Caenorhabditis elegans: one gene and its partner. The protein of the gene in region 1 interacts with the protein of each later gene in a pairwise test. Each region holds a gene or a part of one and is shown on either strand. Other genes may lie near its edges.

Region 1 (8,131 bases):
TGGGGGCTTGAAATTTTGGAAAATAATTTTTTTTTGATTTTTGACATATTTTTAAATCTAGATATTTTATGTTTTCTGTACAAATACTCAATTTGAAATTTAAAAATTAAATTTGACACGTTTCTCAAAAATATTTTAAACAAAAAATAAACATTCTAGCTAGACTTTGAAAAAGTTACAAGAGTTTGAAAATCCCAAAAAAATTGACAAATTTTGGATTTTTTAAACTAAATTTTTCGTTATGAACTAAAAACCAACTTTCAGTCCCAATTTTGAAAAAAGTTATAAAGCTTTGAAAAAATTTTTAAAAAATTGGCCAAAATTTTTTTGAAACATTTTTTGACAGAAATTTTCAAAAAAGATGTTGAAAAATTTCAGTAAATCAAAAAAAATTAATTTTAATTTTTTATAATCCTTTTATTTTTCTTCTAATTTTTACATAGATATTTTCAAACTATAGAATTTTTTAAAATTTAAAACTACCCTAATGCTCCTCTTCTACTCGAAAACTGTTCGAAATTTCCGAAAATTTCAAATTTCCCGCCAACTCAAACTTATTTTTAAAAAACGTACGATTTGCAGCCATTGGATCCTGAAACATCATCGGATTCTGTGGTACAAATTGCATTGGCGGTTGAGGTGACGATGGGACAGGTGACGTCACTGATGACGTCACTTGTGTTGGTGGTGACGTGGCAGACGGTGGAATGCCGACAGTTGGAGCTGGATCATGTTCTGGAACACACGAAGGTTTTTTAATAGTTTGTAGTTTGTGGCGTGTAGTTTTCTAGTTTGTAGTTTGTAGTCTTACGTCCTTCCGGCCTGTTGACATAATATTGGCTGTGTGCCAAGTTTGTTCTCCAATTCATTGCCCGTAATTCGACAAGTTCCATAATTTTCAATCGACACGGTGTCCCAAGTTGTCCATTATCTCGACAGCATGCTTGACGTAATGATGTGAAAACTTTATTTAATTCATCTGCAAAAATTTTTTAAATTGAAATTATTATAGTTTTAAAACTTTGGAAAAAATGTTCAAAAATGATCAAAAAAAATTTTTTTTTTGAATTTTTTCTGCAATTTTCACTTATTCACTTATAGAGCTTTGATGGCCTGACTTTCCGAAAAAAAAAATTAGGCCACTCACTTTTATGTGATTGTTCCAGCATCGAACCCGAAGTTTTGAGTTGAGCACAAAGTGTGAAGATCGTGTTTGCGAGTTGTGAAGTGAATTGGCTCGCACGTACCATATTGTTGATTGTGTTCATTAGCTGTAGTTGTTGGTCTGGAAAAAGTTTGGAGAGTTTTGGATTTTTGGAAAAAAAATTTCTGAAAAAAAAATGTTTTTTTGGAATTTTTTTTTGGAAAGTAATTTTTTTTTAAACTTGGATAGTTAAAAAAAACATTGTATTTTTCTAAAAAAAATTACATTTAATTTTCCGTTTTTATATTACTATTTTCAAATAAACGTTAACAATTCAGATTTAATAATTGATTTTAAAACAATTTGGTACTTGTGTATTATTTCCCCTCATTTTTAAATATAATTTTTTAAATAAAAACGTGTGGAGTTTTTGTATTTTTAGTCTTAGCAAATAACCATTTCTAAGCCTAAGAAGGGAAACTGGACATCACGCTATATTAAAATGGATAATAATAAAACGAGGGGAAATAATACACAAGTACCAAAAATTTAAAAACATTTCAGAACTTTTCAATATTCACTTTTAGTTTGAAAAGTTTTTCTTTACTTTTAATCATATTTTAAAATAAATTGATTGTGCAAATTTTTTAACTATAAAGTTTTTAAAATTTCAGTATTTAAGCTGAATTAATTTGACATTTCTAGCTAATTTGAATAAATACTGGATTTTTAAAATAAAATTTACTTTTGAAAATTAAACAAATATTTAAAGTATGTAGTATGTGGTGTGTTTTTTGTTCGCATAGATTTGAAAATAAATCAAATAAATAATTTAAAAAGTATATTATTTAATTTTCAAATAGCAATATCAATTTTGGTATTTTATTTTGATTTTAAAAAATTCGGCACAAAAATTTTTGAAGATTTTTTTAACGCTGAAATGATTGATAGATTTTTTCTGTTGAAAAAAAAATTTAAAAAAACCAAAAAATGTCGATTTTTAATTTTTAATCAATTTTTGTGGATTCTGAACTGTATTTTACTTAAAACAATTTTTTTTAACTTGAAAATTGAAATCATTACTGAAAACTGAACAAAATACTGAAATTTTTCTGAATAATATTTTTTTTCAAATTAAATATTTTCAAATTCCCAACTCCAAACCCCTTACCTTTTTACCTCTAAAAGTTCACGAAAAGTCTCAAAAATCTCTCATTTCTCCAAAAACAAATAAATGTCTTCTCCCCCCACTTAATCCTTATCAATTTTATATCAAAAATACACGAATGAACTCTTTAACATTGTCTGCGTCTTTTCATTTCTAACAATTTCTCCTTTGTCGGCTTCTGTACAATGTTAAGTGGCGGCTCGGCGAGCCGCTTTTCAGGTATTTGCTGATCGACTTTGTAACGATGGAGGGGGAGGAAAATTGGGTTAAACATGGGTTGATTTAGATGGAAATAAATGAACTAATATTATTTTTTGATTAGTTGAGTTTTTGGCTATAAACTACAAAGTTACCTAGCACGAGGGCTTAGGCTTAGGCTTAGCCTCAGGCTTAGGTTCAGGCTTAGGCTTAAGCTTAAGCTTAGGCATAGGCTTAAGCTTAGACCTAGGCTCAGGTTTAGGCTTTGGCTTAAGCTGAAGCTTGGGCTCAGGCTTAGGCTTAGTCTTAGGCTTAGGCCTAGTCTTAGGCTTAAGCCTTATGCTGGGCTGCGGGATGGCTATTCCAGCTGATAAAACAAAAAAACTTTTCTTCTAAAAATGGATAAATCAAAAAACGGAATTTTTGGATTCATGAGAATTCTGAAAACATTGAAAAACCCGCACCCATGGCTTCAACTCTATAGTTTTTGGTTCAGTCTATCAAACTACAAACTACAAAGCTTCATAGCCTCACCCAACATATTTTCGGTTGAGGTCATTTTTTGTAGTTATAAACTCTTGTAGAATTCCCTTCCTCTACTTTCACAATCAGTATTTTACCAGAAACTTGTCGTTTTGACGAGCTAAGATGATATATGAGCTGAACGGGTGAATATGTGAGAGAGTATGTGGGATGAATAAACGCAGAGAAAGAGAAGAGCACCCGGGAGAAAAGAAAAAGTGTGTAAAAATCGAGTGCAGCTGTGAGAGAAATCTGAGTTTACGAACTGCAAAAACGCTTATGAAATCAGAAATAATCTATAAAATTGGGAACAAACTGAGGGACTACAAACTACAAAAGGGTTTCCAAAATCCCTTGATTTACCTCTAGAAAATTCTTTGAAAAATATTAACTGTATGCAAACTGGTCATACAATTTGGAGCTGAATATTTAGCTTTTAAAATTTTTAAATAATAAACAGTTTTTTTAAAATAAGTTGCACAAAAATTCAGGTTTCGCAATTTTTTATTGCAAACATTTCACAAAAAATCAGATCAGAATATTATCAGAATATTATATATTTATATTATTATTATTATATTATATAATGCCGTAATTTTTTTCAAAAAAAATCGGGCTTAACAAATTGTACATTTATTTTGAAGCTAAAATTTTTATTGTTATCGAAAAATTAAAATTATTTTTTCTAGTTTCACTATCAGTTGAAAAAAAATTCAATTCAAAACTTCCAAAAAATTATTTTTAAAAAATTAAAAAATTTCAAAATCTCATAACTTCTTCCAAAATTACCCAATTTGTACAATTACTATGTTATTTTGAAGCAAAATATTTGTTTTTTATAAAAACATTTTAATTTTATAGGAAAAATACAAAAACCAAAAAAAAAACCAGATTCACAATTAAAAAAAAAACATTTTTTTCGAGATTTCTTAAATTTTCAAAATTATCAGATTTTTTTAAATTCAAATTTTTTTATGGAAAACAATTAATTCTTACAGAAAGCTATACTTGCACAAAAAATTTACAAAAAACACATGTTTCAAAATTTTCGAAAACAATTATTTTTTTTCGAAAGTTTTCCAAATTTCAAAATATCATAACTCCTTTCAAAACCAATAGATTTTTCTAATTTTTACTTTATTTTGAAGTTTAATATATATTCTTTTAACTTTAAATTATATTTAGACTAATATATGACAATAAGTCAAAAAAAGTTTCAGTTTCAAAAGTATCAAAAAAAAACATTTTTTTTCGAATTTTTTCCAAACTTAAGTCTCTTCAAACTTGCTTAAATTTTCCAAATTTTAAGTTACTCTGAAGCTCAAACAATTATCTTTTTTATTATTACAAAAATAACTCACCAACACTCAACAAGGTGTTTCGGGGCACCTGAGGCGCGCCCTGCATTTTCCCGCCGCCAAAGTCGTCGTAGTTATGAAGCATGGTTTTTCAGATTTTGGGAATCAAAATCAATTGATTTTGATTTTAATTATTTTTTCAGATTAAAATGACAGTTTCGTGTGCAAGAAAGAATGTGTTGGCTGGTGGCAGGAGATGTTGGTGGACAGTGAAAAAGTAGAAGAAATTTTTTAGGAAATCCGAAAAAAAGTTTTTTAAAAACTTTTTTCAGAAATCCAAAAATCGTTCGTAATTTTTAAAATAAATTCGAAATATCGGCGGGACGTTAGGGGTAACGTTTTTGGGGATGAAAACGTCGTGTAACTGAACAGCACCGCCCGTGTGTTAATATCTTTGTGTTCTCCTGATTTTACACATTCTCTCGGAGATGAGCCACTCAGTTTGGCTCCGCCCATTTTTTGTTCTGTTCCTATCATCTCTGTCTCTTTTTGTTTTCCGTTTTTCTTTACAACAAAATTTGCAATGAGGGAAAGGGAAATTGAATATTAGGGGTATTTTTGAATCATTTTTTGGCACAAAAGACTGTCATTTTATCTGAAATTAATTATCAAAATTCGTTGATTTTGAGTTCCAAAAGACTTTATCGGCGGGGAAAATTAGAAACACTGGTTGGAATGTTTTGTGGTACTGAAAAAAAAGTTTTAAAAAATTGAGCTTCAAAAAAAGTTAAAAAATTTAAATTTTGGACAATTTTGAAAGGAGTTATGCTATTTTGAAAATTTCCAAAACTCGAAAAAAATTTTTTTTGGAGCTTTTGGGATTAGGTTTTTTTTAAAAAAATTTTGTTAATCAGATAATAATTTTGATTTATTATAAGAAAACATATTCAGCTTCAAAATAAATTAAAATTGGAAAAATCTGATAAGTTTAGTAAAAGTTATGAGATTTTGAAAATCGAAAAATCCCAAAAATTGGTTTTTTTTCTTTTCACCTGCAAAGTTACCTGGTTTTTTAAAATTTTGTTTTTATTTTTACGTACTTTACAACACAGTAACTCTTGCTGGAAATCAGTTGCTGAGATACTGTGTATTTTTTGGTTCAGGCTAAGATAGTTTTGTAGTTTGTAGTCTAAGCATCTCTCATCTTGCACCTCAATTTTCCATTTCGGAAAATCATTTCAGACATCATTCAAAACGGTCAGGGAGTTTCGGGTGGCACAAATTTACATAATCATTTACATATAATCAACACATTGTTATTTTTCTCTTTGTCTCTTTTTCTAAAACATATCGGAAAAGAACGAATTCCTAGAGAGACACAGATAACGAGATTGAAATTTGGAACCTGAAATTTGGATATCGAATTGCTTTCAAGTTTTTGTGAATAAAAAATTATTTCAAACCAAAATAAAACATGTATGTACAAACGAAATAAATAAATAAGTTACAAATTGCACAAAAATTGATATTTTATCAATTTCACGGCTCCGTACTAGTCGTGGAAGTTGTCTTAAAGTAGTCAAATACCCTGTGACAGTTCATTAGAAGAAGTGGAAGGAAGACCAATGCGTGGGTGGTACCTGGAATGAATTTAAAGGTTGCTGGCCTAGAAATTCAGATTTTGTGTTTTCTAGGCCACCAGTATGTATGTTAGTTCTTAGGGTTCTAAATTTGGGGTACGGTAGTACTAGCTTCAGCTGTGATTCAAATTTTCAGTAAAGCAGATCATCACAAATTTTGAAATTTTTGAAGTTGCTGGACTAGAAACCAAAAATTTTATAAATTTCTAGGCCACCAAACTATATGTGAACTCCCAGATGTTATGGAGATGTATGAGTAAAGTAGTTTGGTAGAGCTCATTTTCATTACCAAAATTTTTTTTAATTCCAAATTAGGTGGCCTAGAAAATCACATTTAGGATTTTCTAGGCCATCACCCCGCATGTCAGTTCCCAGGCCCCCTAAGACCTCCAAACTTTCTAAGTTCACTAGAGCGAATTTACACAACACTTACCAAATAAAATAACCAATACAACAGTCCTAAAACACGTTTGAACCACATAACTATCCACCAAATACAGCGAAGAAACACCCAAAAGTACGGAAACTGAAGCCTGTGTGACTGGCCAGCCGATTGTACCCAAAGTGTGACAAAATCGTGAATAAATTGCACTTTTTCCCGGAATTTGGGCTCCAGATTCTGTCATGTACGCGTAAGAGACGTGGGCGGCGAAATCTGGAAATTTTTTTAATTTTTTTTTGTAAAATTTTTAGACTTTTGCTCCCCAAGAGCTTTCAAAACAGTAGTGAAGGGTGCAGATTTTCGACGATATAATTGGAGAAGGCTACAAAAATTGGGTAGTTTATTGTTTGTAGTTTGTAGTTTATTGTTTGTAGTTTGTAGTTTATTGTTTGTAGTTAGTAGTTTAAAGTTTGTAGTTTGTAGCTTGTAGCCAAGTCTTACCAACTGAAAATCCGACACTCATTGCTACAGTAATCATTGACGTGGCATCCAGGCTGACACCAAGGAAGGACATGGTTCCGATGACTCCGAATGCGATGGAGGCGATATTTAAGCCTGCGATGTTTGACTACATAGACAACGAAGACTACAAATACTACGAATTCTACAAAACTCACCAATAATAACTGAGCAGAGTGGTTGTGGAATGAAGAGCAGTGCGACCGGAACCATGACAGCTGAAATTAGTATTTTTGTAGTTTTTAGTATTCAAGAATCATACTACAAACTACAAACTATAGTGATAAAAAAATTGTAGTTTGTAGTTTGTAGTTTACAGTTTATGCCTTACCAATAGAAATATAGATATCCTGCATAGTTTGTGGCCACATAATATCATACTCGTCTGCAATATTCCACAACGGAGAATATGTAATAATACTGTAGTTTGCATGTTTTTGGGACAGTTTTCTGCAAAAATATTTTGGTTGAGGCTCACACAGGCAAAGCGGGTACGGTCCGTTTACGGATCTTGGACCGGGAACGGACCATTAACGGGCGAACTACGGATATGAAAAGCGGGACGGACCAATTACGGGCAAACTACGGGGAATGTAAAAAATGGCCATTAAGAGGAAAAAATGGATTTTAAGAAAACAATTTTTTTTTAAATACCTATGATACCAGTTGGCTAATTCAAGAATTTTTACGTCGTTAAATGCATTATTTAGAGCAAAAACCACATTTACCGACCGAGATGGCTCTTGAGCCGTAGTTGGGCCGTTTCCGGTCCGTAGACGGTCCGTCGCCGGCCCGTAGACGGACCGTAAATGAACCGTCCCGGGCACCAAATTTTTGTTTTTGAAAATTTCAGGTTCTAGCACGGGAAAAGTGCTCAAATTAGCCAAAGGAGAGTGTAGGCACTTCAAAAACTCCATTTTCATGAAAAAATTTTTTCGTATTATCCTCCGTTTTGGTGATCATCCGTAGTTTGGCCGTAGCCGGTCCGTAGATGGTCCGTAAATTAACCGTCCCGGTCGGCAAAACTGCACTTTTTAAAACTAAACCTTGAATCAGGCAAAAAATTAGCCAACTGGCTACAATGAACCAAATAGCATTGTGGGTACTTCAAAAACTCAATTTTCATGAAAAAAAATTCCTCTGGGCAACCATTTTGTCTATCATCCGTCCAACTGGTCCGTACGCGGCCCGCAAATCGCATGCGATCTAACTGAGGCTATTAAGCATGACATTGTGTGTAAAAGAGGTTATATTAATGTA
Region 2 (7,022 bases), on another chromosome or scaffold:
TCATGAAGACCGAGAGAACCTGCACAAAACATGCCCGCTTTGTAAATCTGAAATTAGAACCAAAAAGAGAGCCATATTTTTCAGCGCACAATTAACATTGCAAGGTTTTTTTTTTCAAAAGTGAGACTCAATTTTAACAGTAGAAAATTGATGTTGGAAAGTTGCTTTTTTTGTTATAACTTGTATTGAACTGTCAATCAAACATATCAATACAATTAGTTGCTTTTTATTCTAGTTTGTATTTGCTCACGTGGTGTCAGGTTTTCCCATTTTTGTTTGATCTACGTAGATCTACGTTAAGAACGTGCTGACGCCACATATTTTTTGGGAAAAGCCCATTTCCCCCATTTTTTGTAGATCTAACTCTAATGGGACAGCCTGATACCACTTGTTTGCTTATTTTTGATTTTTTTTTTCTCTAATTTGATTCTTGTCATTACATACTAATAATAGACTTATAGAAACCAACTAATTCCAGACGTTTTCAGACCACAACATCTAGAAAACTTGTTTTGTTCGGTTTGTTTGTTTTGCACTATTATATGTCTCTAAGTTATCATCTCCAAAATTTCAAAATCTACACATTTGTATTTTTCCTAAATTTGATGTTCATTTTAATATTATCTCGGAGGAAAGTTAACATATAAATAACTGTATTTTATACGTATTTCTTCTGTTACCGTACGTTGTTCGTGCATAGAAAACCCAACTCACAAAGTGAAAAAAGTAAGTCGTTTCTTCTGTATATGAAGTCATGGTTATTTCCTTGACGTTGTTTTCACAAACAAAACGGTTGGTATTCGAAGGATCAATAACAAACATTAGTGAACTAAAATTATACGATACTTCAACAAATAAAAACTTGGCCTTACTCCGAAAAACACTGGAAGGTTTTCTGTTTATTTTTAAGCAAACTTTCCCACTTTTTCACATTCACCGGAACTTTCTCAATGATTTTTTGAATGCCTTGAGCAGACAGACGGAGTATAAGAGATGTAGGTAGACTACAGCAAAGTTGAGGGCTTGAGTACTGCAAAAATTGTTGTTATACAACAAAAAAAAATGATCCGGCACACTTCGGCACCTCGAATTTTAAAAGTTTTCCGAAGAATTGTGTAAGTACATATCAGGGCTGTGCGGCAATCGAGATTTTCGGCAACCGGCAATTGCCGAAGTTGCGAACCCAAAAAATTTTGGCAACCGGTAACTTTTGGTCGCCGAAACTTCAACAACTTTTCGGCAACCGGCAAACTTGGGTTGCCGGTTGCCGCACAGCCCTGGTACACATCTTATATTGCAGTCAAACACGGTCAACCCCGCTTTGTTGCTACTCATAATTTTATAATAGAAATCAACAGTCAATCCAACTTTTTAAAAAAATTCTGAAAATTTTCAAATTTTCCATGAGAATGTGGTTTGTGCAAAAAGTTATTTCATTCAAACATTTCCGACCGTTTCAGAAAAAAAAATCACAATAAATTTTGACTGAAAATTTATGACGCTTTTTAAAATGACAGATGCCACAGTTTTTACTCACCAGTACTTGAGACACATCAACGGCAGAGAGATTAATTGAAACACTGTTCTGTTTGTCGAGACTTGGTACCGGGAATTCAAATGCTACTTCACGGGTGTTTCCAGTCTGAATTTATCTGTATCCTAAATCATTTTCATTTTCAGAGTTTTTAGGTAACTGCAAAATTGTGGAAAAATTCTCAAATTGAATACTTTGCAAAAATTGATTATCATATACCGTATTTCCTCTATTAATATTGCAGCCGACTACTTAACTTTGAAACGTTAGGTACTTTATAAATTTCTTTTTCAGTTGGACAACAAAAAAACAAACATTTCTAACGGAAATTCGAAGAGATCTTATTTCCTTTTTCTTGTAGTTAAATTTGAGATCACCCCACCATGCTTGGCAAATTGAATACTGCAAAAAAAATTTGGACAAATTTTCGACGAAAAATCCAACCGTAAACTCCATTTCTTCCAAGCGTTTCATTCGGTTCTCATCCATTTCCCCATTTAATTACAATTCAGGACAGATGAATAAGCTGTAAAATTTGTAATTAAACAAGCTTAACGCAGAATTTTTGCTTAAAAAGTTTTCCACCATTTGTATGTTTAAACGTTGTCTTTTTTAAATTCAATAAAAGTTTTTAAAGAAATGCTGTTTGGTTTCAACACTGGATAATGCTAAGAAAATTGAAAAATTCTGTGGTTCATTATTTAAGAAATGTTTGTTTTCCATTAGACAATTTTAAAATCTTGTCTAATTAATTTTCAAGCTAATTAAAACCAAATTAAAATTAAATGTTTTCCATTGAACACTTAGAACTTTGAATATTTTCCGAGGGGTAGGTTTTCACGGCGGCAGACAATTTCCGAGTTTGGCCACTGATTATAAGAGTGGCCTAACTCGGAAATTGTCAGCCGCCGTTCACGGTATCCTACCCTTTGGAAAATTTCGAAAATCCTACACACCGGACGCAATGAATGTATCCGGTCCGGACGCTATACTTCAAAATTTGTCTTGAAAACCCAATAGACTTTTTGTGCTACGTATCCATGTGAGGGTGAGAAAAATCGCCATATCTTACGCGCAAAAAGCACCTGTGTCTCTTTTCTCGAACGCTGTCTAACGTCTAGGCAAAACGCCTATCGCGAGAGAGCGTGTGGAGCGTGTGGAGAAGAGAGACGCGGGCGTCCGCAGTTCTCATCAAATCATGGACACGTTATAAGTCAGTTTGTAGTTTTTGAAAAAAAAAATCCAGAAAACTAAGTGATGATAATACACTCTTTTTTTATTCAGTTGAAGGAAAACACAGATATAAAACATTCGTTCATTTCCGCAAGCCAACCAAATAAAAACATTTCAACAAGTGAAGAACATGTTAAAATACGACGTGAATACGCATTAGGATTTAAAAAAAAACAAGATATATGTTAATAAAAATAACGCATCAAAAAGAAATTTAAGTGGCTGGTGTGGCAGGAGTCTCGGTTGAGACTGGAACTGGGGCTTTCTCCTCGCGTGGCTCCACCGCGTAAATGGCGTGCTTCGCTTTGACTCCTGAGCTCGTCTTCTTCTGGCAACTCTCATGATCCTCATAACGGAGAACGTCGTAGAGTGGTCTCTGATGGATCATGCTTGCATTGTTGAGCACTTGCTTCAAGACGCCTCTGCAAAATTGAAAGTTTCACTTTAGTTACTCTACAGTTGCCTGTCAATTTTACATGTACCGCTGCTTTAACATAATTTTGGAATTTCGCTGACCATTAAGCAATCAAATTCTGTGGTACATATGAAAGATGCGCTAGACTGGTTTCATAACCAATAACGTTATGTGTTGCAAACGGTTAGCAGTGGAAAATTGTTTTTGAACGGATGAATTGCGTCTTGTAACACCCAGAAGTTGTCTGTGGCTCAATCAAATGTAATGATCAACTAGACTAGTTTCATAACCAATAACGTTATTTCTACAACCTCATTAGTTTTTAGACTATAAAAACCTACCCAATTCTCAGATTTGCCCCGTCATCAGCACTGTTTGTAGTCCAAACTGAGATTTTTGAGCCCTTTCCACGGACGTTGCAGACAATTCCGCACAGACTTTCGATATCGTCGGAAAACTGCTCTCCGATCATCGCCATAAGAATTTCGGTCCAGATAGTGTCCATGATTTCCGGAGTGCGTCCTTTCTCGATAGTGATAAGCCATCTTCCTCCATTCTGATTTTGTGGCACCTGAAAACACATTGGAATGTGTTTATGAAAATATTTATACCACGTGTGCATCAGCGCAAAAATCAAAAAAAAAATTCACCTCCCACATTGGCTCAATTCCATCTCTGAAAACATTATAATCTGATGGTGGATTGAGCCCACTTGGCGGCTTAATAGAGTCGTGAAGTGCCCAGAACTCTCCGACGCTGCTAAAGGTTTTCACGTTCTTGAGACGCTCCTCCCACGATTTGTTGCGCTCGTCGTTCAGATACCTACAAATTCGTTTATTCCTTATGTTCAAAAATTTATTCAAAATCTTGATGCCTAGGGAAAAGTGTCAATAGCTTACCACCAGGTCCAGTTGCGTTTCAGTTTGTAAACTGGGTGGGAGATGGTTCCAGGAGCTGCGACTGGTTCTTCGGACATTACTTGCTGAAAAGAAAACAATATGTGTGGCAAAATATCAGGCAGTAGTTTAATGTCGAAAAATTGAAATAGTCAAGTGCTAAATTAGGTAAAAACAAATGTGATATTGAAACAGAGACACGCAAAAACCGATATTTCCCAAAATAAGTCTGCAAACACCGTGACGGAACAATGCAGACGCGCGAGCGGTTTCTCTGTGTGATGCGGCGAGTGGCTGCAGCACCGGTGACAAATAAAAAAGAGGTACGCGCAGAGAAAACTATAAACAGAGAAGAAATAGTGTTGGAGTGTGGTGAATCAATATATATATCAATATATATTTCTGAGTTGCAAAACGGATAGAAATGAGAAGCCGGTGAAGTGAAACATTTCAATTTTTGAATTTTTAGAGGATTGAGAGATAATTACTTAAATGTCAAAAAGTTCCAAATTAATCATTTTGCTGTAAATACTGAACCTGGAGATTTTTTAACCGTCAAAATTGTTCGACTTTTTGCCCGGCAATGGATGCAAACAGGTATACACCGTTCTGAAACATATTAAATATTTGCATTCTTTGTTTTACAGTCGGATGGTGATACAAACAGGGGTGAGCGGCAGTCGGAAATTTCCTGCAAATGGCAATTTCAGCAATAGCCGAAATTGCCGGACATTTTCGGCGATTTTCAAACCTAATTTTATTTCGGAAATTGAAAAAAAATTTACCTTGTATTTTAGTGTTCAATAAGTCATTTTCTAGAACGAAACTGTCAATCCTCAAAAGATCATTTACTATATTTAAAGGGCTATGCCCTTCCGTTTCTATGTAGTTTGAACTTTGATCAGAGCAACGAAATTTTGGGAAACCTTATGCTAAATGCGCAGTAGGCATCGATTGAGGTCCGCGATACGCACCGTATATCCTATGTCTTTTCTAAAAAAAAGTAAGGGGGCCGCGCCGTATGTGCGGTCCACGGTTGGTTAAATTACATTGCGCTTGAAAAAAGAACATTATTCACTATTAGTAACATGCATGTTTAGGCTCTTAAATCTACAAAAAGTGTCAAATTTGTATTTCCTGTAATTCTGATTTCCGGCAATCGGCAGTTTCCACAATTGCGGGTTTTGGACATTGCCGAAAATTCGATTGGCAAAACGCAATTGCCGCGCACCCCCAATACAAATCATGAGTTCTTATAGCAACTTCTAAGTATTTTGAGATTTTCTCAAACTCGACGTTTTATATTCTATTTTTTCGTATGTTTGAAAATTGCTTACATTAGATCTTTTTACATCGCTGCTGTGCAAAAAATAAAAGTTTTCCGCGAAATGAGCGCATCAACCTTAAATTAAAGATGGTAGTTCATAACAGAAATTACACAATATCAGAAAAAGCGGTATGTAACCAAAAAAATTGTTGAATTTTGACCCGTAACTATTTTCCCCTCCTTACATATTTGAACATTCCTATCAAACGGTGGCCGATTCTGATCACGAGCAACCATTTTACATAGTTTTTATAAGAAGCTGAACTAGCTTTTGGAAAGCTTCTGGCTCTTTATTTGTATAGCATCTAACAATTGACCGTGATATTTTAATACAATTTGGTACGACTACTGGTGAGTCCGGTCAAGAAAATACACAACTGTAATAGAAATTTAATATTTTTTAAGATTACCTATTAATTATCCTAAAACAGACAAAGTTTCAATGTTTATTTCAAACTCAAAAAATTACTTGTACCCTTAAAATTTAGGAAAAGGAAATCATTCAAAATTAAAAAAATTGTTGAAAGAAAAACAACTATTCAATTATAAAAAAGTCACGACTGACATTTATTCACTTTGCCTTGCCAGCATATATCGACTTTTGCCAGTCGATGAAGCTGCAAAGGGTGATGTGGGAAACTCCAAGACGATTTGCAATCTGAAAATTAATTAGAAATTGTTAAATCATTACACAAAAAATGTATTCGGCAAATTTGCCATGCTGAAAAAACTGGAGACAAAATCAATAGTTAGAAATTGTATTGCCGTGCTCGGGAAATTAGGCGAACGGCAAACTCGGCGAGTTTGCTGCTCTCCCCCGGCAAATCGGCAAACCGGCATCTTGCCGATTTGCCGAATTTGCCGGAAAAACGGCATCCTATGAATCTTCCTACGTCTATTTTGAAAAGTAAGCAAATTCTAAGAAAATATGTAGAAAAAACGGGAAAATTCAAAAAGACAGTGCTTCCGTCTTATAAAAAATCTCTCTAAGCATTTCCGGCAAATCTGATATCCGGCAAACGGCAAATCGGCAATTTGCCAAAAATGAAAATGTTCGGCGAATCGACAAACTGACAATTTGCCGATTTGTCGAACGGCAATTGTCGCTCATCCCCGTTTAGATGTACCTTATTTAATAAAAAAAAAAGTGTGATAAACAATTGAAATATGCGACAAAAAAACATAATTGAAAAAGTTGAACTTCTAACAGCTGTGACCCGAAAAAAAAGACATTTGAAATTTTAGCTAAGATAAGCTTAATTTGCTTAAAATTTCAAACATAAACGCGAAACCAATACAAATATTCTAGTAAAAATTTAAACAAATCTTACTTGAATATATTCATCATTCGGTTTTCTTCGTTCCTCAGCAATTTTCATCATTTCATCAACTGTTTGCTTAGAGAGAGTTAAAAAGTCCTTCGGCGCATCTTTCCAAACTTTCAGTTTTCTTTCGGTAATCCGCTTCTTATTGAAATAGTTTCTGACTTGACGTTCACTGAGCCCTAGTTTCTTTGCGATTTTTTCTCGTTGTCTCACACCAGGCTTGTTGTTTTTTGCAAAGTATTTGTTCAACCCTTCAATATTCAGTTTTGGCAGTCTCCTACGACAAGATGCA

What was found. The genes of interacting proteins can lie anywhere in the genome.
Region 2: the proteins of mxt-1 (region 1) and ife-2 interact in binary tests that used the Caenorhabditis elegans proteins (3 or more experiments, as listed by UniProt).

What each region holds. Positions count from the first base shown.
Region 1 is NC_003279.8:12,840,972-12,849,102, reverse strand, and holds the start of mxt-1 (Eukaryotic translation initiation factor 4E-binding protein Mextli homolog), read right to left. Parts: upstream 4,835-8,131; 5' UTR 4,476-4,834; coding exon 4,394-4,475; intron 1,286-4,393; coding exon 1,148-1,285; intron 980-1,147; coding exon 812-979; intron 736-811; coding exon 574-735; intron 1-573. Other genes in the region: ptr-17 (SSD domain-containing protein), read right to left, coding at 5,870-5,970, 6,404-6,625, 6,854-6,967, 7,030-7,089, 7,203-7,321. UniProt on the Caenorhabditis elegans protein: Plays a role in promoting translation.
Region 2 is NC_003284.9:378,546-385,567, forward strand, and holds ife-2 (Eukaryotic translation initiation factor 4E-2), read right to left. Parts: upstream 4,165-7,022; 5' UTR 4,159-4,164; coding exon 4,082-4,158; intron 4,005-4,081; coding exon 3,833-4,004; intron 3,754-3,832; coding exon 3,524-3,753; intron 3,190-3,523; coding exon 2,982-3,189; 3' UTR 2,840-2,981; downstream 1-2,839. Other genes in the region: R04A9.3 (NPL domain-containing protein), read right to left, coding at 715-829, 873-1,030, 1,538-1,642, 1,850-1,936, 1,979-2,023; ceh-93 (Homeobox domain-containing protein), read right to left, coding at 5,977-6,063, 6,737-7,022. UniProt on the Caenorhabditis elegans protein: Recognizes and binds the 7-methylguanosine-containing mRNA cap during an early step in the initiation of protein synthesis and facilitates ribosome binding by inducing the unwinding of the mRNAs secondary structures.